Linked DNA regions of Alligator mississippiensis. The protein of the gene in region 2 interacts with the protein of the main gene of each other region in a biochemical or structural test. Links are inferred from orthologs where the notes say so. Each region holds a gene or a part of one and is shown on either strand. Other genes may lie near its edges.

What was found. The genes of interacting proteins can lie anywhere in the genome.
Region 1: the proteins of RNF20 (region 2) and WAC form a complex in vitro, tested with the Homo sapiens proteins (2 studies listed by BioGRID). The link is inferred for Alligator mississippiensis from reciprocal best matches to the Homo sapiens genes RNF20 and WAC.

The regions. Positions count from the first base shown.
Region 1 is NC_081828.1:190,514,970-190,524,392, forward strand, and holds the start of WAC (WW domain-containing adapter protein with coiled-coil), read left to right. Parts: upstream 1-5,052; 5' UTR 5,053-5,152; coding exon 5,153-5,193; intron 5,194-5,309; coding exon 5,310-5,346; exon of another isoform or gene 5,347-5,574; intron 5,575-6,638; coding exon 6,639-6,834; intron 6,835-7,654; coding exon 7,655-7,723; intron 7,724-9,423. Other genes in the region: microtubule nucleation factor SSNA1-like, read right to left, coding at 3,971-4,315.
Region 2 is NC_081826.1:162,741,910-162,751,920, forward strand, and holds the start of RNF20 (E3 ubiquitin-protein ligase BRE1A), read right to left. Parts: upstream 4,629-10,011; 5' UTR 4,531-4,628; exon of another isoform or gene 4,520-4,530; intron 3,983-4,519; 5' UTR 3,899-3,982; intron 617-3,898; 5' UTR 528-616; intron 1-527. UniProt on the Homo sapiens protein: Component of the RNF20/40 E3 ubiquitin-protein ligase complex that mediates monoubiquitination of 'Lys-120' of histone H2B (H2BK120ub1).

The DNA of each region.
Region 1 (9,423 bases), on a different chromosome or scaffold from region 2:
TTGTTAAAATGGGTTCAGAGGTGATGGGGGAGATGGTAAGCGTCTATAATAGCCCAATACATTACACCACCAGCTCATAAATTGGAAGACCAGGCTTCAAGGGGTTCAAACCAAGGAGAGTGTCCTAATACCTGGCTATAGGCTGGTCAGTTGTGTGGCTGAGCCAGGCACATGCTGCTGACGCTGTGCTATGATGCAGAAAGTAACGCAAGATTCACAGGGCCAGGAAGGGACTCTGGAATACAGCAGTTAAAGCAGTCAGCTGTGTTTGGCCTCCACTCTCAGGTCTTAAGGGTTGTGTTTTTTATTCAGTCATTGTTTATTTATTTTACATTAAACAGATCAGGAAGCAGGGACCAGAAACCAGGGCAATCTCTCCCTAGTTACATATCCTAACCACTACTTGCCTTACCTCTTGTGACCTCTCCATCCCCTACCTTACCCTTCTTTATGCTCAGAACAGCAGTTCCGAGATGGACAGTTTACCTGCTCCTGTGCTTAGTATTTTTTCTTGGCTAACTTGAGTTGGCCCCATTCAGCACACTAGTTCCTATGGATTACTTTGTCCCCATGTATTACATAATGAAACCCAGGCTTCCAAATCAGGGTTTGAATTCCACTCTGGAGGCCAGGTGATTTAAGTTAAGTATTGCTCTACATTACATGCATGACATACTTGTCATTCAGGTTGGGGAGTCAAAAGTTAACTGGGAGCAATGCTAATGACATTGCTGCCTCAAGTACTACTGGCTACAGAAATCAGTATGACTTTTAAAGACTCTAGCCAGATGGGTGATTAGACCACAGGGGACCTCAGACTCAGCTTTTTGATCCACACCATTTCCTACTCCAAATGAATGTCCTCACCTAGACAGTGCTGCATCTTCCTCCTATTTTAATCAGATTGAAACAATTTAAAAAAAGCTAATCACATCAGTTCACCTACAGTATCTTAAACAGTCAAGAAAATTCACATATACACAAGCTGTATACTGTATTAACAAGGTTTGCCACTCGACCAAAAGACTAATAACTTGGTCATACTTGATTAACGTAGCATATGACTTTAAAGTGCAGTAGCTATTCCTAAATAACTCCATGTGTGGACATTTCCATTCTGGTATAAAAGAGCCCACACTTGATCTGGAATGACTAGTCTAGACTCTCTCATATACTATACAGGCAAAAACATTCTCCACCAGCATAGATTAGATTAAAGGCCATATACTGTCCTCCATTTGTGATTTGACACCTCACTGTCACCTGTAGTTTTCTCAGTTAACAGAAGTGAGAAATCACTTTTTATTTAAAAGAAGCCCTAAAATCTCATTGTTTGGATACTAGAAAACCACTGTAATTTGCTTGTTTTTGTAAGCTAAATCACAACCTTTTTTAAAAAAAGCTGTCAGCTCAAGTACATTATTTTTGTCATTGTAGTACCCAGTTATACATAATAAACTCAAAATGTACACTAGTTTTGTTTAAATAATACAACAGAGACATGAATTACAGAGCCATTTGCTATTAAGACAACTATACTATAAATGGTGTCTCCAAGCAAGATGGAGAACACAAGAGATATAAAAACCACCATTTCACTTCTCTGTAACCAAAGCATTCATGATAAAAGGAATCTGTATTTAGATCATTTGAACTTTCATTCCAGAAAACTGATTTATTACCAGTGTGAAGTGGTGTGCATACACATGTAGCTTCAAGACCGAAATGCAAGTTGCACTGATCTAAAGGGAAAAAATAAATTTAGATGAGAAATGTCATTAACAATCATGACACAATGATTAGGTATTGATCAAAGCCAGATGTGGTCCAAATATTTTGCAGAAATTTGTAATGATAGTTCCACTTCCCTTAGAGCAGGGTGTCAAACGTGCAGCCTGCGAGCTGGGTCTGGGATTGGGAATCTGGCCTGCCTGGCTCCTAGAGGCTGGACATTTGTGGTCAGGCTCACTGCTGAAATGTGAGGCATGGAGCCCCACTGGAGATGTGTGTTCACAGGGGTGGAGTGGGGTATGAGTGTAGCCCCGGCTCCCTGATACTGCTGATCCTATTATTTTTAGATCCAGCCTGGGGAGCCAGATGAGCTTGACATCCCTGTATTAAAGTAAAAATAAGCAAAGAAGGAAGCAGGGATTTTGCCCTGATTAATACTGGGGTACTAGAATAGCAGCAGCATTCCTGATAATCTAATTTTAATCACTCCTGTATTACTCAAGGGAGACTGGTGGAAACGGAATATGTATATAGTGACAATTAGTTGAGTCACTGTAATCTCACCCACATTTTAAGCGTAGCATGGCACACACTAGAATAGAACTTTTACTTCATAAAACTGCAAAGACAAAATAGCCAGACGCAGTTTGCGCTGACATACATACCATTTACTTCTGCACCCAAGAGTTTCATAGTTTGTGTTATGCTGCCTGATGTGAGAGTTACCATTGCACTTCCTTAAATTTAAAGAATCAGTATAAAACAAAGGCTTTACTACTGCACAAAATCTTGGAACAAAGCAAAAGCTACAGTATGCTAACATATGAAGTGCTATAAAGAAGTTTTAATACACACTAGAAATAGAAAATAGGATCAAAATTGAGATTCTAGTCATGGTCTCTAACCTGCTTCCCTATTTCCAAGCTAGGTTTAACCACATCCAAAAGAAAGTTTCAGAGCTCAAGAACCATCTCTAATCTAATTTTCCACTTCTGAAGTGTATTTAATACTTCCTTTCCACGTTCTTCAGGTGTTCTTCACAACCCTATTGTAAGTATATAATTCGCTAGAATTACATAAAAGGTATCCAAAAGAAAGTTTCCAGGCATTTCAATCTTTTGCCCTCAGCTAAGATGACCCCCATAAACCAAAACTTCGACAATTTATGTAAAAAAATTTTCATGGAAGTGTGTTACATGAAAAACACTACAATGATACAGAACTACAATGATAAGGGCAGAAAAGCCTATAAATTTGTGCAAGGTGCAGCTGTGATCTCTAAAGATTTAGAAGTCTATTGCCAGCCAGATTACTAAACATACCTCCCTCTCCCTTTTCGTACACGTTTACAGTGGCCAGGCACAGTACAGGAACTTGATCAGCTAGAATTTTTAGGAAGTCAATATAGTCCCTGTTAAATTTAAGGTCTTTTAATACAATTGTTCCTGGCCTCTGTTTATTTTTGGAAGAGCTTTTGGATGGGCCTGACAGCCTGTAGACACAATAATAGAAGTTGTGTTATGTGCACACTTTAGAATAACACGCACCTTAAAAAAAGGAAGAAAAAAAAATCTATTTAAATAAAAAAGTCGGATAGATATCCATTTAGACAATAAACATAAAAAACAAACATTGTGCTACTACTGAGTTATGAAACTTATTCTGTGCTCCACTTCTTTTCCTCCCTCCCCACCCATTTGTTTTACACCTCTTTTTCCAGAGCAATTAAGGAAAACTGGATGGGATTCCCTGAAGCCATAAATATGGCTCTTGCCTTGGCTACAGGAGTGAAGAGAGACAAAAAATGCCCTCTCCTCTCAGATCTGGAAGCACTACTCAGACTGAAAGTCCATGGAAAGCAAGGAGGATTTCATATGGTAAACTAAAAAGAAAGCTTTTTTTTTTTTTAAATTATTATTACGTTGTCTGAAAACAGACATGGAAAGACATTTGTACCAAAACGTGACCTTCTTTTCCCACAGATCGATTTGCAAAACCTGTGTATATATCTTCATGTGTGTTGGTTATTAAACAGTTATGAATATTTGGTAGCAAAATACTGACTTTATTTTATGTGCGTTACACACTGCTTTAGTGCATTAAACTAAAGGTAAAACAGACAAGAGACCCCAGTCAAGCCCTTCCCCACTTCTGCTACCCCCAGGGTCTGTGGCTAACCTCATTCCTCACCCAAGAGGGAATTTAGCTCAGTTGGAGGCTGCACGCACACTGGCCCGTTTCAGGTGACATTGCTTTCCAGCACTGCCGTTTTGCTCAAGGCCCCTGCCTCCTGCTTCAGGACACTCAGCAGCGCTCGAAAGCTGTCCAAGATCTTCACGTAAGCAGCGTCGGTTTCAGCAAGGATTTTGTCCAGTTCGTCGCGGGCCTCGGCCTTGCGGGCCAGGCTGCCCGACACGCGCTCCAGCCGCTCGCCCAGCGCCCGCACGTCCCGCCGCAGCCGCTCCCGCTCCTCCTCGTCCCGCCGGATCTGGCGGGCCAGCTCGTCCCGCCGCAGGCACAGGTCCTCCAGGCACCGCACCACCTCGTTGTTGCAGCCCTGCAGGACGGCTGCCTGCTGCGCCATGCTCCGGGCCCGCTCCGCAGGAGAGAGGGGAGACAAGAGGAAGGAGACACTGCGGCGGGGCTCCCCAAGGACATCTTAGCCGCCCGCCGCCGCCTCCAGCTTCCTCCCGCGGGAGGCAGCCACACAAAATGGCTCCCGCCCCGGCCCCGCCATGCCCCCGGGACAGCAGCCCGCACTCACTGGCTCGGCCCGCGGCGGAGCCGGGCGCGTCGTCCGCTCAGGTCCGGTCCAGACCCCCGCCCGGCGGCAACCGCAACCGCAACCGCGCCGCGCACTCCGGCGTCGGGAGGGTGACGGAAACAGCCGAGGCTTCCCGAAAGCAGGTCCGGAAACAGCCGAAGTGTCCCGAAAGCCGGAACCGCCCTCCAGGGCGGAAAGAGCCGATGCGGCCCGAGCCAGGCCGGCCGCGGCCGATGTTTGCCGAAGGCAGAGTGGGCCGAGAGCAAAGGGGAGCGCGGGGCCGGGGGGCGGAGCGCGGCGGAAAGAGCCGGAAAGAGCCGAGGCGGGCCGAGCGCGGCGGCGCCCGAGTTGCCCGGATGTAGTTGGAGGAGCGGCGGCGGCGGGCGCAGCGGGGGGAGGCGGCAGCGGCGCGTCCGTGCTCGCCAGTGTCTCCGTGCGCGCGGCGCCCGGCTCGTCCCCCGTCCCGCGTGGCGGCGATGGGCCCGTGAGCGCCGCTCGCAGCCGAGCCCGAGCCCCCGCTCCCGCCCCGGCCCCGGCCCCGGCCCCGGCCGCTGGCGAGGCGGAGCGCTGCCTCCCCCTCCCCCCTCGGCGCCCGTGGCCCGGCCGCGGCCGCCCCCCCCGGCCGCCCTCACCCGCACGCACACGGGCCGGGCATTGATGGTAATGTATGCGAGGAAACAGCAGAGACTCAGTGATGGGTAAATGGCTCCGTCCCCGGCCCGCGCCCCCCGCCCCTCCGCCATGTTTGCGCCCCTCCCCCGGCCGGTAACGGCCCCGCTAACGCCTCTCTCTCTCTCTCCCCCTCTCTCCGCAGCTGTCACGACCGCAGGGGGGACTCGCAGCCCTACCAGGTACTGCAGCGCCGGCCGCCGGGCCCCGCAGGCCGCGGGCGCGGGGGGGGGCGCTACTCCAGCGCAGGCTTCGGCCGTCGCCGCAGGCCGCGTTGCACCCGCCGCCTCGGCCCTGCCCGCCCGGCCGCCCCGGGCCCGCTGCGCCGCGGGGGAGGGGGGTTGCGGTGGGGAAAGGGCGGCCCGGCGGGCCCGGCGAGGGGCAGGGGCGGGCGCGGCCTAGCAGGGCCCGGGCGGCCTTGGGCCTCCGAGCCGGGCGGGGCGGGGCGGGGCCGGGCGGGAGAGCCGCTGGGGTCTCTTGGAGCCAAAACAAATGGGAAAGCGGCTTCTCTGCCAGCAATGGAGCAACTTGGGAGCTGGGGCACTTGGCTTCATACCCGGGGAGGAGCTGCCTTCGAGGGCCCTGGAGAAGCACCCCCTCTCCCCCTTCCCGTGGGTAGGGAGGCAGCCCCTGGGCGCCTGCACTGTGGGGCTCCTCCAAGGGTGCTGGTTGCTCACGGCTCTGGGTATTTGATTAGCTGGGAAATGAAATCTGACAGTTGAAGGCAGCTGGAAGGGGCAGTTCCCGTGCACACAAACACTCCCCTGGCAGCGAAGTGCCTTGCCAAAGCAAGTAGGTGGAAGAGGGGCTGGACAGGAGCACTTCCAGCAGGTCAATATTTCCAAGTGGGCGCAGGCCAGCGAAAGCACTGCCTGTCCCACCACTGCGCTTCCTTCCGCCTGTTAAGTTGGTTTTATGGCTTCAGGAGATTCTTGCCCTTAAAAGTTCATTGGGGTGCTGGATTAGGGTAAAAGGTGCTGGATTAGGGTAAAAGTTTTCAAATCAAGCTTGCAGTGCGTGTGTGTGCGTGTGTACACTGGGTTTGTGCAGAAGTTACATATGATAAATAATATATATTGCATTACTTGATAATGAAGTAGGTGAGGAAAGAAGCTGGGTGTTTGCTAAACGTATCTGGGTCACAAAATGAAGAAGTTTGAGGAATGGCTACTTTGCTTTTAGAGGATATTAAAAATAATGTTCACATATGATATCAAAATGGGCAGAGGTGTCGCAAGACCTAAATCCGCCTCATAACATTACTTTGTATGGCTAACTACAACTAGAAAGCCAAAGGCTGAGTGTCCTGCTGAAATTGGTTTTCAGCAGGAGCTCTAATCACATTTATAATCTTGAGTCATACTAGATTGAAATTAAATGTGTTCTGTATTTAGAATACATGTTTTGGTGGGAAGTGGTAGTAACTGCTACAAAAATGAAACCCAGTTTTAAAGCGCATTCTCATCTCTTGCAGACTCTTAAATATTCATCAAAGAGTCACCCCAGTGGTGGTGATCACCGTCATGACAAGATGCGAGACACCACAGATCCTTCACCACCAAACAAAATGTTGCGGCGATCTGATAGCCCTGAAAACAAATATGGTGACAACACAGGGCACAGTAAAGCAAAAAGTGTGCATGCTCACAGAGTTAGAGAGAGGGATGGTGGTGAGTTGCTTTTAATTGACTTATTTAAGCAGCATTAATCTGATGTAAACTACGTAACAACAGCTACTACTGGGCAAATAGAACTTCACCTTGAATGACATGTCTAGACATGGTGGTCAACTAATTGATCCCTGAGCGATTAGTTTCACTGAACATAATTGTGTAGAACATCATGAAGTGAAGTATTTTGTGCCTCCAACAAGTAGTACATTTCGAGAAGGCCACAGGAGAATACATATATGCAATTTTAGTATGGTGATTCAAATTAATTTCTGCGATTCAAATTTCTAAAGACACTTGTAATATTAGCATGTGATAACATTCCATTTTAGATTTCTTCATCATAGAGATTTTTACTTGTTGCTTCAAAGGCTGAAAACTGTGATTGTTCTGTGGCTTATTAAATAACAGTAGTCTGCTTGCTTATTATGATGATTAATTGTTCAGTTAAGTGCTTAACAGGCTGAACGAAATAGATAATTTAAAATGCAGAGAAGCTTCAGAACTTTTAGTTGCTGTAAGGAAGACTAGTGAGTAGGGGATAGTATGCAAAGGTATTCCTGATTTGATTCCTACTTTGGGGGGAACTCATAAAGTGTTCCTGCTTTAATTCTCTAAATATTTTAATAGACTTCTATTCTATTGCCTGCCTTCCATTTTTGCTACCTCCAGTATCTTGCTTTACTTATCTAATGAGCAAAATTGTAAACATTTTACTGTTTACTATTGTGGGGGAGGTGGGGGGAGAGTTTACCTCAGACACCAGTCAAACTTAAGCCAGTTCTTGGGTTTTCAGTGCTGCTTTTCATTCTTTATTGAGTTACCATGAAAAGTCTTCAGGAAGAGGAACCAAAGAGATCTCTAAAACAACGTATCATCCATGCTATAGGTAAAGTTGACAAATAAGTGATGTAAGGACACTCATTTTATTACTTTTGTTGTGAATGCTTGTTACAATAGTTAACATTAAGGTGAAATGCCAAGTATCTTTTAAGATATCTTGAAGGGAACTCCTGGTCTCCACTGCAAGCATACTTATAGTATATGAGTACTTGTATGCTCCATATTTATTTTCTTTGCTTGAATCTACAAATGGAACTGTTTTATGCATGTTTGATATGCATGCATAAGAAACTGCAAGTTCGTAAGAAAATTTTTGCAGGATAACTTAAAAATATTGATCCTCTATTGTTTTTCTAAGCGTGAGATTACATTTAGATACTTCCAAATTCAGATGTGTGCCATTCTGTAGGGTGCTATTTAAGAAACTGGGTTTAATTCCTGGTTTTACTTACTTGTTCCCTTGGATCCTGACCCTGCAAGCTCTTATACTTTGTTTAACTTCTCTACCTCAAATAGTTTCTATTCCAGTGGGACTACCAACAGTTAAGTACCTGTGAAAATGCATGAGAGATGAAGGCCCATGGGGAAGCAACAGTATTTCTGACTGTTGACATTCTCACACTATAGAAGGAAAGTTGAGTTCTTGCTTAGTCCACCTGTACTGAATGATTAGTGATACATGCCCCAGGCATACAAATATGAAGCAGCTGAAGGAGGAGGTAAAATGGAAATGCTGGAATCTGAAGGGGTTAGAAGATTGCTACTCATTTTGTTCCTTATTCCCTAAGCCATTTATGGAATGGAGGATTTAGTGCAGTATATTTTCAATATATAACATGGTGTAGCAAGTTATTCTAAGTGGTTAGGTCAGCAAACATAAGCATTCCAAAATATGGCATTTTTGTAAAATGATGCAACAGAAATAAGCAAGGTAATTGTGTTTTTAGTTTTAGAGTTTTGATTTAGTTCAGAAAACTTTTCAGTCAATAAGCATGACTAAAATTGCTTTAAACTTTATTATGTCATAAGCATAGTAAACCATAGAGCCGCTCTATGCAGTATAATGTCAACATAAACTTGTGCTTCTTCGTGATCATGTACAGATTTTAGCTGCATACATTTGTACTTTTTGCCACCATTATAGATTATTGCATCCTCTTGTTCAGTAAATATGTCAATTAATACATATTAGTGTTAATGTCAAGACACATGAAATGCTGGTATTATCGGTATGGTTATGTTTGTGATACTTGGTAAATACAGCAGATTGAGTCTAACATGGGTCTGGTTGCCCTAATTTTGTATTTATATGGATATAAATATATATTCAGTGGGACTGCTTACAGTAGTAAAGTTAACTACACGTTAAAATATATTAGGAGATGAGTGCCTTGAGGGTGGGAAGGAACACATGTATAGTTCTACTATGCCATTAATTCTTCTAGTACAGATGTAAAGTTACTTTTGTACTTCCCATATACCTCCTATTCCTGGATTAAACTTTACCCAGAACACATTTGCTTAAATGCATAGACCCTCTCAAATCAAAAAACATCTATTGAAGAAGATCATTAAATAAGTGCTTTAAAAGAAACCCTGAAGGCTGTCGTTTGAGATAATGGGAAAAATAAATTATGTTACTAGTTATTATGTGTTTATGTATTTTTCTTAGTTTGGGCAGTGATTGGAACTACTTCAGGGGGATAATTACAAGCAAATAAATCTTTTGAATTTGAAAAAGATCAT
Region 2 (10,011 bases):
TATGAATGGCTATTATTCTTATTATTTAATTGTAAGCTTTTTGGGATAGGGGCTATATTTAATTCCGTCTTGGAAAGTGTCAAGACTATTACTGAGATTATAATAAAAGCAGTATCATTTCAAATTCTTCTGTGTAACAGCTGCTTCCTCCATATTTATACAATGCTTGGTACAATAGATCTTAACCTTGATCAAAACCTACTACAATACAAATATTAAATAACACAAATAATTAATTATACAGTTTTCTCCCTTGTATTTTAATTACTGTATTTCATTTTAAAACTTTTCTTTAAGATCAACAGTAATCACGGAAAAATAGGGAAGAGGAAAAGAAGGCTCCTTCCAAAAGATTTCAAAATGACATAGAAAGATGTCTGGGATGTGGCAGAGAACTAATACAGTGGTTTCTCCATCAGGATTCCCACATTCACAGTGTGACAGAAACGAAGACTAAAGAGTTTGGTGAGATACCTCCCTATGTCCTACCTGACCACTACACTGCCATACTGACATCTGTAACTCACCTAGAAGAATTTCTTTGTGATGTGAGGTGAAGTGTACGGGCAGAGTTGTGACGGAAAGTGGTAGGCAGCAGATCTTCTCATGCCTGCCCCTGAAGGGTACATAGAATGACAATGGAAACAAAATACGATATACCTGTTAATTCCCCTGACACAAAAATGCATTTGACATTTTTTCATACATTCTGATATGTGCCTTGAGAAAAGAAATAAAGAATTCTTGCAGCAAACAGACCATACTGAGAGATAACACAGTGCCAATATCATTGTAATCACAGAAGTTCCCTGTACTTCTTACTACCTTTAAATAAAGCATATGCGTGTATGTGCTTTGGGTTGCGTAAACCCAATGCTCGTGAAAGGCATTGGAGACTGAAATTCTCTGGATGGTGTGAACAGTGGCAGCAGAAATAGTCTCACACTGCCACCTGAACTGATCACAACCACAGAAAGTAGGGTGAGTGGCACCTTAAAGACTAACTGGTTCAGAGAGGCACGAGCTTCTGTGGGCAACAACTTACTTCAGCATCCACTATGAAAGGGGTGTTTGCTCTCTGCCTTCCATCTTTTTGCTTTGCATTGCGAAGGGAAGCAAAATACTTTTATTTACATTCTGAAGAGAACTGGCAAATAAGCCTACAGCCTGCTGCGGCTACAAAGCCCTTGCCAACCCAATTCTTCCTGTCCCCAATGGAAGCCCTCAGACCCTCACCAGACAAGGCCATAATGGCCACTTTATGCAAAAGCAAGCACAGACCTGATTAGGTCTGAATTAATTGAAAGACAGCCTATCCTAGGGGCAATTCTTATAGTCTCTCCTCCTTTCTCTCTCTCTGTGAAGAATTTTGCCATGTGTGTTTCCAGTACCTTTCAGAGGATCATGCTGCCTACTAATTTGGTACAAAATTTAGGTAACAATAATAAAAAAACCTGTAAAACTCAGAGCCCCACGGTTTCTAATTGGGGGCGGGGGAGCGGGGGTTTGCTGGATTTCTTAACAGCCGACACTGCAGCTTCTCAAGCTAAGAAAGGCACTTCAAAATGAGACAGAGGACTGCTTCATGTGCTCTATCCCATCCTTTAAATATAGCTACCGCAAAGTTACAAACCAGTGACTCTGTGAGGTTTGTTGTTTTTTTAAAAATAATCTATGTTAGAGGTGCACTGATACATCGGTCCAATATCAGATTGGTACCGATATAAAGAAAATTGTGTATACATCGGGCTGATATTTTGGCCAATAAACACCCGTGTTGTGTGCAGCTGCAATGCAGCATGGAGCAGAGCTGGCAGCATGGAGCGCTGCTTCCAGCTGATAAGTTGGAAGGGGCATGGGGAGGGAAGGGGCATGGGAAGGGGGCAGATCAACGGCCCACTGCAGTGAGGGAGGGGACAGGTGCTGCCCAGCCAGGGGGCAGAGGGGGGTGGCTCCCACAGCTGCTTGCACTGGGGGGGGGGGGGGGGGGGGGGGGGGGGGGGGGGGGCATTTGCCCCTGGATGTTCGCGGCGCGGGATGGGCTGCAACTGTGGGATGGAGCTGGAGCCGGCACTATGCAGGGCTCTTCTCGCCAGAGGCTGGGCTCAGAGAGGGCTCAAGCACTGCTAGGAGGAGACTGCAGCCACCCCAAATTTTGCTGCAGCTTTGTTTCCAGCCCTGTGCCGCTGTCCAGCTCAGCCACTGCTTTTCCCAGTGCTTGGGTGGAGGCGGGGCATTCAGCTGCGACTGCACTGGCCACTGGGCAGCAGTGAGGGGCTGGGAGTGGAGATGCGGTGAAATCTGGGGTGGCTACAGCCTCCTCCCAGTGACACCGGAGCCTGCTCCAAGCCCAGCGGCAAGAAAAGCCCCATGAAGCACCATCTCCACCCCGCAGCTGCAGCCTGCCCCATGCCGTGCCTATCTGGGGTCACACGCCCCCTGCCTTCCTGGGGTACAAGCAGTGGCAGGAGCTGCCCCCCCCACAAGCCGCACCTCTATCCTGCCACCCCCCCCGCCCTGGCTGGGCAGAGCCTGCCCCTACCCCCTCCCTCACCGCGGGGGGCGTTGATCTGCAACCCCTCCTGCCATGCCCCTTCCCTCCTCCCCTCCCTTTCCACCACAATGGACTGACCAGCTGATGGCAGCTGCATCAGAAATTGGACTGGTATCGGCTGATATGCCTCCTTAAATATCGGCTATCAGTATCAGCCCCCAAAATCTCTATTGGTGCACCTCTACCATATGTATGTAGGCATGTATGAGGGTACACATAAACATTTACATGTGTATACACATATGTATATACGCATTCACACATTTTAGTAATATAGGTGCATATAGGTGTGTATACATGCATATGTACATGTACACAAGCATCTGTATATACACACAGGAACTTTTGTTTTTAAAAATCGATATATGTATGCATGCACATACATGTGAGCATGTGTAAACACACACGTTCTTTTAATCTATATGTATAGGTGTGGGTATACACATAAATACGTGTATCCTCGCATACAAATACATATACATACCCATGCTCTTTTTAATCTATATGCATTTACATACGGATACATACATACATGTATACACACATACGCATAAATGTATACACTAGAGGTGCACCAATGCATTGGTCCAATATCAGATTGGCACGGATATAAAGAAAATTGTCTTTATCAGAAATCAGCCTCATATGGCAGATAATTTGGCTGATAAATGGCCTGTGCCTGCGTGGCTGCAGGGCAGCACATAGGCGGCGAGAAGCACAGCCCGGCAGCTTGAAGAGCAGTGTCCAGCTGGTAAGTCTGGTATGGTGGAAGGGGAGGGAGGAATGGAAGGGGCATGGTGGGGGGGCAAATCAAGGCCCCCTGCGATGAGGGAGGGAGTGGAGCTGAGACAGGGACAGGGGCTGGGGCAGGGAAGGTGTGGGACGGAGCCGTGGCTCATCCAGGGGGCACAGGGAGGGGGCTCCCGCTGCTCGTCCAGGAGGGCACGGGGGGGCAAGCATGCCCCTGGATCTGTGCGGGGCAAGCAGGGCCAGGGCTGCGCCACTCTGTGTTCATGGCAGGTGGCAGCAGCACTGGGAGCAGGGGCTTTGGCAAATTTTGGGGTGGCTGCAGTGCTCCCTGTATCCCTGCCCTCAGTGCCGCCTGCCCCGACTGCCGTCTGGTAGTCCCGGCCCTGACCACCCCGCACAGATCTGGGGCACATGCCCCCCACCCCAATGCCCTCCCCTGGATGAGTGGCGGAAGTAGCAGCAGAAGCCGCCACCACAGCTGTGTCCCACACCCACCCTGCTCTGGCTGAGCCCCGGCCTCACTCCTCCCTCACCACAGGGGGCCTTGATCTGTCCCTCCCCTGTCCCCGTCCCCGTCCACCACAACAGACTTACCAGGTGGATGCTGTTCTTCAGGCTGCTGGGTTGGTATCGGAAATCAGATCGGTATCGGCCGCAAACATCTCTATCGGTGCATCCCTAGTATACAGACATTGTTAACAATGAATATGCATTTATGTATACGTATGTGTACACAATTTATTGATAAATATAATATATACCTATATCTATATATACAAACACCTGTGTATACATATGTATAGATATTATTTTTAATAATCAATATGCATTTATGCATATGCATATACATTAACACATGTATACATACATGTACACGTGCATATATATGTGTCTATACACATTATTTTTAATAATCAATGTGCACCAATGTATATGTATGTATGTACACACACCCTGCCCCCCGCCCCCTCCCTCCAGGCCTACAACTCGCGGGGGTGGGGGTGGGGCGCTGGGCCCCCCTGAAGCCAACGCTCCCCCCTCCTGGAGGCTGCCCCCCTCCCCCGCCGGGCCGAGCCGAGCCCCCAGCGCTGCCCCTCCCCCCGGGCAGCCGCGCGCAGGGAGCACCCGCAGCCCCCAACGTCCCCCAGGGCGGACCCCGCCCCTGCGCGTGGGGGGAGCTCCGGCCCTAGCCCCGGCCAATCCCCCGTGCCGCACCCCGAGCTCACCGCCGCCCGGCGCTGCGCCTCCCCTCTGGCCTTCTACCCCTGACCCAGCCGGAAGCGGTCAGTGACAGCGGCTCCGCCAATCAGCGGCCCACTGCGCAGGTCGTCACCCCGAAGGCGGTGCCCTCACTAAATATGGCTACCGCACCGCTTTGCTTTCTAGGCTCCTGAAGCCATGGCGCCGTGACGCACCCTGGGCGTGCCTTTCCTGTGGATGGTCCGGAGCGGCTATGCTCCGTGCCCTTACTTGACATGGCGACTGCCTCCCGTTGTTTTCTAAGGGGTTGACGCTGGCAGGAAGGGAAAGGGTGGCTGCCGCCCTTCCTCTGCGTGGGCGGAAGTGGCGGAGAGGAAAGGGTTGAGGCGAGGCCCGAGGACTCCTGTGGCACCAGCGCTGCGTGCCTGCGGAGCGCCACCTGTAGGAAGAACAGGGGCCCGGGGGGTCCTTTGGTGGCTGCATCGGCAGTGCTCAAGAAAACCCTCACAAATCAAAGCAGCCCGGTTGCACGGTGGAGCTGTGGTCAGCAGGTGGCACTGGCCGTGTTGCCCCCTGAGCCAGCCCTGCCGCAATGGGCAGCACGGTCCTTGCAGGCGTTGCGTTGCCAGGGGTGAAAACCAAAAGCTGGGCAGCGTTTGCAGTCCATGCAGCTAATGATAGAGGGGAGAAGAGGATAGGGAACCAGCCTAGAATCGTGCCGTGACGGCGAGCGAGTCACTTCCCTCAGTTCCCCTCTGCAGGGTGTCATAGTGGTCTGGAGATTGTGTAGCCCAAGCCCAGGCTCAAGGCAGCAGATTCATTCCTGCTGTTAAAAACATAAGGTTTAATATGCAGGAGCTCAGACGCACCCTGGTAATGCCAGAAGGTTTAATATGTATTAGCCTGGGAATTAGGAATATATACAGTGTTGATATACTTACTGCAGCTAATCTGGGAGAGAGGATTTGTCATCCAAATCTGAACTAATTGTTCTTTAAAATCTGCTCTCACTGGCCTCTTGATTATTCCAAGTCCCAGTGCCCATACCACGCCTAGTCACGTGTGCAGTGCCATACTCCCGAGTGTATTATACAGGGCCCAGAAGAATGAGTACCAAACTACACTTTAAAAAAAATCCTGCTTAGCCATAAAATGACACCACCCTTGTCAAAGCCCTGTATTTCAGCCTGTGACCTCCGACAACAGCAATTCCAAAGATTGATTATATGATCTATGAAAAAATATTTCCTTTTGTGTGTTCTGAAGTGCCTTACTCTTCAGTTAATTGAGAACTAAACTTATTTCCACATTGTGGACCACATAAGACTGGAGGGCTGGTCACTTTTTTACCGTACTTTTCATAGCCTTAAATATTTCAGTGATTCCTTTACTTCATCTCCTTTCAAAACTAAACAATTCTAGTTTTTTGTAGTCTCTGCTCATTGTCATGACCCAAAGGTCTGATTTTTTTTGTGTGTGCTTCGGCACTAAGAATTATCCCCGCAGGTATACCGCTTCGTTACACGGAGGAGTTCTGCTGCGCAGAGAACCCGCATGCAGGGAAGTGTTCCCGCCACTTTGCAGCGATCTTTGCAGGGTGCATTTCCTTTGGAGCACAGAAATGCACCGTGCAAAGGTTTCCCGCTCGTGGTATGCAAATTTGTGCCCCGCAATTGGCTAGTTCTAAATTATTCACACATGGCGGCTAGCGATTGGCCTGCTAGCCGTATAAGAGGCTTGAGCAGTTTCTGCCCAAGCCGAAGAGGACTTTGCATCCATCTTGTGGGGATTCTGGGTGTGTGTGGCAGGGTAATAGAAACCCTGTGTGTCGCTCAGAGGAGTTTGGCGGCCTGATCCACCGCCCACCTCTTCCCGTCTTCGAACGAAGCCTACTATAAGATGTAACGACGAGTTTAATGCGTGCTTGTCCTGGACATCCGGAGTTTGTCATGTTCTGTCTGCATGGAGCCTTGCAACCTCCACGTGTGTTCGTGTTTTTTGTTGTAACCACAACTCAAGCAAGTTCTCAGCCTACACCACGACCATCTCGGTGTAAGTAAAATAATCTTAAAATCAACCGTTACGTGTCTGTGCCTAATTCTAGCTCGGCGCCCGCCCTCTCCGACCCGGCCTGCCCGGGCTGCTGGCCACAGCCTGCGTGCAGAGCAACGTAAGCGACCCGGGGTCAGACCCGGCGCGCACACTCATGTGAAAATCCCATGGAGTGTTGCCCATTTTTTAATCCTTTTAGCTCTGCCTTTCTTTCAGAGCAACAAACCCAGCACACCTGGGAAGAGCACTTGTGTTCAGTGTCATTAGAATACAATCTGGTTTGCAGTCTGATGACAGACAGGCTTTATAATTGCTATTTTATAGTGGGCAGATCTCATAAAGATCACATTATGCTTTCATACCCTTAAAGTGTAGAGGCTCCATTTAAGATTTAGAGTCAGCTAAAAGAGCCCCCAATTTATACTGTTTGTACCTTTTGTGCCTGACAAAAAAGTACACATGGGAAAGCTGTACACAAGAAAGATTTAGGTACAGACAGTTTTGAAAACAAAGAGATAATTGGTGAAAAGGCTGAGCTCATCATAAATCAAGACAAAGAGTCTGATGCTGCCACAAAATCAGGATTTGAATGATGTGTCTTCATTTAGGTACTGTTTCAACATAGCATTTAAGTACATACTTAATAAGCAAGAGGTGAGCATTTTCTCGGATGATATTTTTATTGGACCAACTGCATGGTTGAAATAAAGTTCGACAAGCTTTTGAATGCATTTAAGTCCTGTTTATATCATAATATTTATGCGTATGCCTAATGTTTAGGAATGTAAGATATACAATGTGAAGTAGCTTCTGGGTCTTTGAGCCCTGTCCTTTGCTATGGTAGACAACTACATCATATAATCTCATTTATATATTCATCAAGCTCCATCTTAAAAGCTATTATATTTCTTGCCCCTCCTATGCCAACTAGAAGGCTGTTCCAGAACTTCATTCCTCTTATGATGAGAAATAGTTCTCAGATGCACATTGCTGTATCAGAGCTACTACATTATGGTGCTTTTGCAATTAAACACATAATAAAATGCAGAGCATACTGTAATTTACGGAACCCCCTCCCACCCCCCAAAAAATCTGTTGTGTAAAAAAAAAAAAAAAAAAAATGAATGGCAAATGCTTTACAAGTAGGAACTAGGTCAAGATCCACTTTTCATTAAAACACTGCAAGATTTCTGCATTTCTAAATATTGTGCCAACTGTGCAGCCACAGAAACTGGCACAAGAAGCAAAGGGGGGGGGTCCCACTTTTATATATAACATCATAGGAGTTAGGGTCACAAGCCAATGCCAAAGGGAGGGAAAAGGTAAATAGACATTAACACTGTGGTACATACACTCAGCACCTTAATTTCCCGCCCCCACGCACACACCACTGGAGGTGTCCCCAAACCAGCCTTTAGTCCCCAGAGTGCTCAAACAGCAGGCTGCACTTGTTCTCAAGTCTGAGGCCAGCTCCTTCAGTCCGCAGCCCTGGCTAACCGAGCCAGTGAGATCTACAGTCCCACTATGCATCCCCAGTGTCCAGCAACCAAGCATAGCCCTCTCACAGCTCTCTGCTTCTCTTCTGGCCACCCCCTGCTTCCTCTTCCTTTTCACTTTGTCCTCCAGCCCCTGGGAAGTTTCTGGGGGTTGAAGTCCACATTAACAGTCAACAGAGCTCTGCAGAAGCCTTGCTTCTTGACAGTCTTAAAGGAAGATGGTTAAATATGTTATCTTAACACAATGGTAAAGGTGTGTCTGTCTTTCATGAACTAGGCTGATTTGGACAAGACTAGCTGCAGAGGCACTATAGTATGAACTTCAGTGGATCACAAGAGATCATGTAGTCTAAACCCCTGTGCGTAGGCAAAATCAGATTTACCAAGATTGCCTTGACATTTACTTAGCCTCTTCTTCAAATCATCCAATAAACAAGACTCCAGGATATCCACTGATACACAATGATGCTCAACCTCGTTGTCCAGTGGGCTAGATGTGCAGTGCCTGGTCTCTCCACAGGCTGGCTTTCACTAGTGGTCCTGATCCGGCACCCAGAGAGGGTTGCAGTGGGACCCCATCTGGCTCGTAGAAGGGAGCAGGGGGCAGCCTGATGCTGATCCAACCATGCAGGGAAGGAGACTTGACCCTAACACAACCCAGCTCCATGGGAGAAGGGGCATGACCAGCCCCGATCCAACTGCATGGGGGAACAGGGGTGGCCCAACCCTGCAGGCAGAGGGGGTGTGACCCAGCCCCACGGAGGGAATGGGGTGTGGCCTGGCTCTGATCTGGCTGTGGGTCCTGGGTATTTGGCAGTACTAATTGCCACTATTCTCCCACCATCAGATTTCCTAAATTGCTGGATGCTATGGTTCCATGGGCCGAATTTGGCTGGAGGTTGAGCTCCCCTGATCTATCAGATACTGAATTTCCCCTCATATCCTACTATGTCATCATTACTGCAAATTAAGCTGATTTCTTCTTATCCTTCCCCCCAGTAGCCATGAAAAATAGTTCCCTTTTTGTCTTCCCTTTCTGTCTTCTCTTTCTTATATTAAGCAAATCCAGTTCCTTCAACCTTTCCTCATAGGTCATCTTTGCTAAACAACTTTTGTTCTACTTCAGAGCCTCTCTACTTTGCCTACAACTTCCTTAAAGGTTGGTGCCCACTGCATATAGTCTTCAAGCTGAGACTTTACTAGCTGCAGTTCGTATCAGATGTACAACATCCCTGTTAACACACACCAGAATGAGATTTGACTCTTTTGCAGTAGGATCTCATTTCAGAATTATAGGTCATTTGCAATATACATCACCTCCCATATCCTGTGTACTGTTGCCTTATTAGATAGTGTGACAGGGGGCCATCTCAAGGCCAGTCCAGTCATTGGCCCACCCACCTGTCTAGGGCAGCCCACCCATCTGACTCACTTGCCATGCCTTTGTTGGAACTAAAACACTGTGCATAGGTGGGAGGCTTGCCATTTCTTGCCCTGATGCCCAGGGCATAATACACAGCTCTGAACTACCCCTACAGCATGTCCCATGCCTCACAGATGACATCCAAAATCACTTCCAATTCTCCCCGGCCCCATTTCTGGGCCGCATTTGACCTCTGGCCCAAACTTGACATCAGGCATCTTCCAACATACTTTGGCCACATGCCCCCTTCACTGGGGCCCCTTCACTGGGGCCACAACTTTTCAATTCTGATTCTGTGCATCATCCTGAGTATTTGCAACCCCTCCCTACTTGGTGTTCATCATCACCTATTAGACAGTAAAAAGACCCTTAAGAACATGAGTTCATTCTTCTAATAATCAGTGCCAGAATTAAGAGTTGTAGCTGACTGCAGGCAAATTCAAAATTGTGATAACTAGCTTTGTAGGCAGAAAAACAATTGTAACATTTTCACTGTTAATGGCATAAGACTGTTGCAACTAGTAAACAAGTGCTGA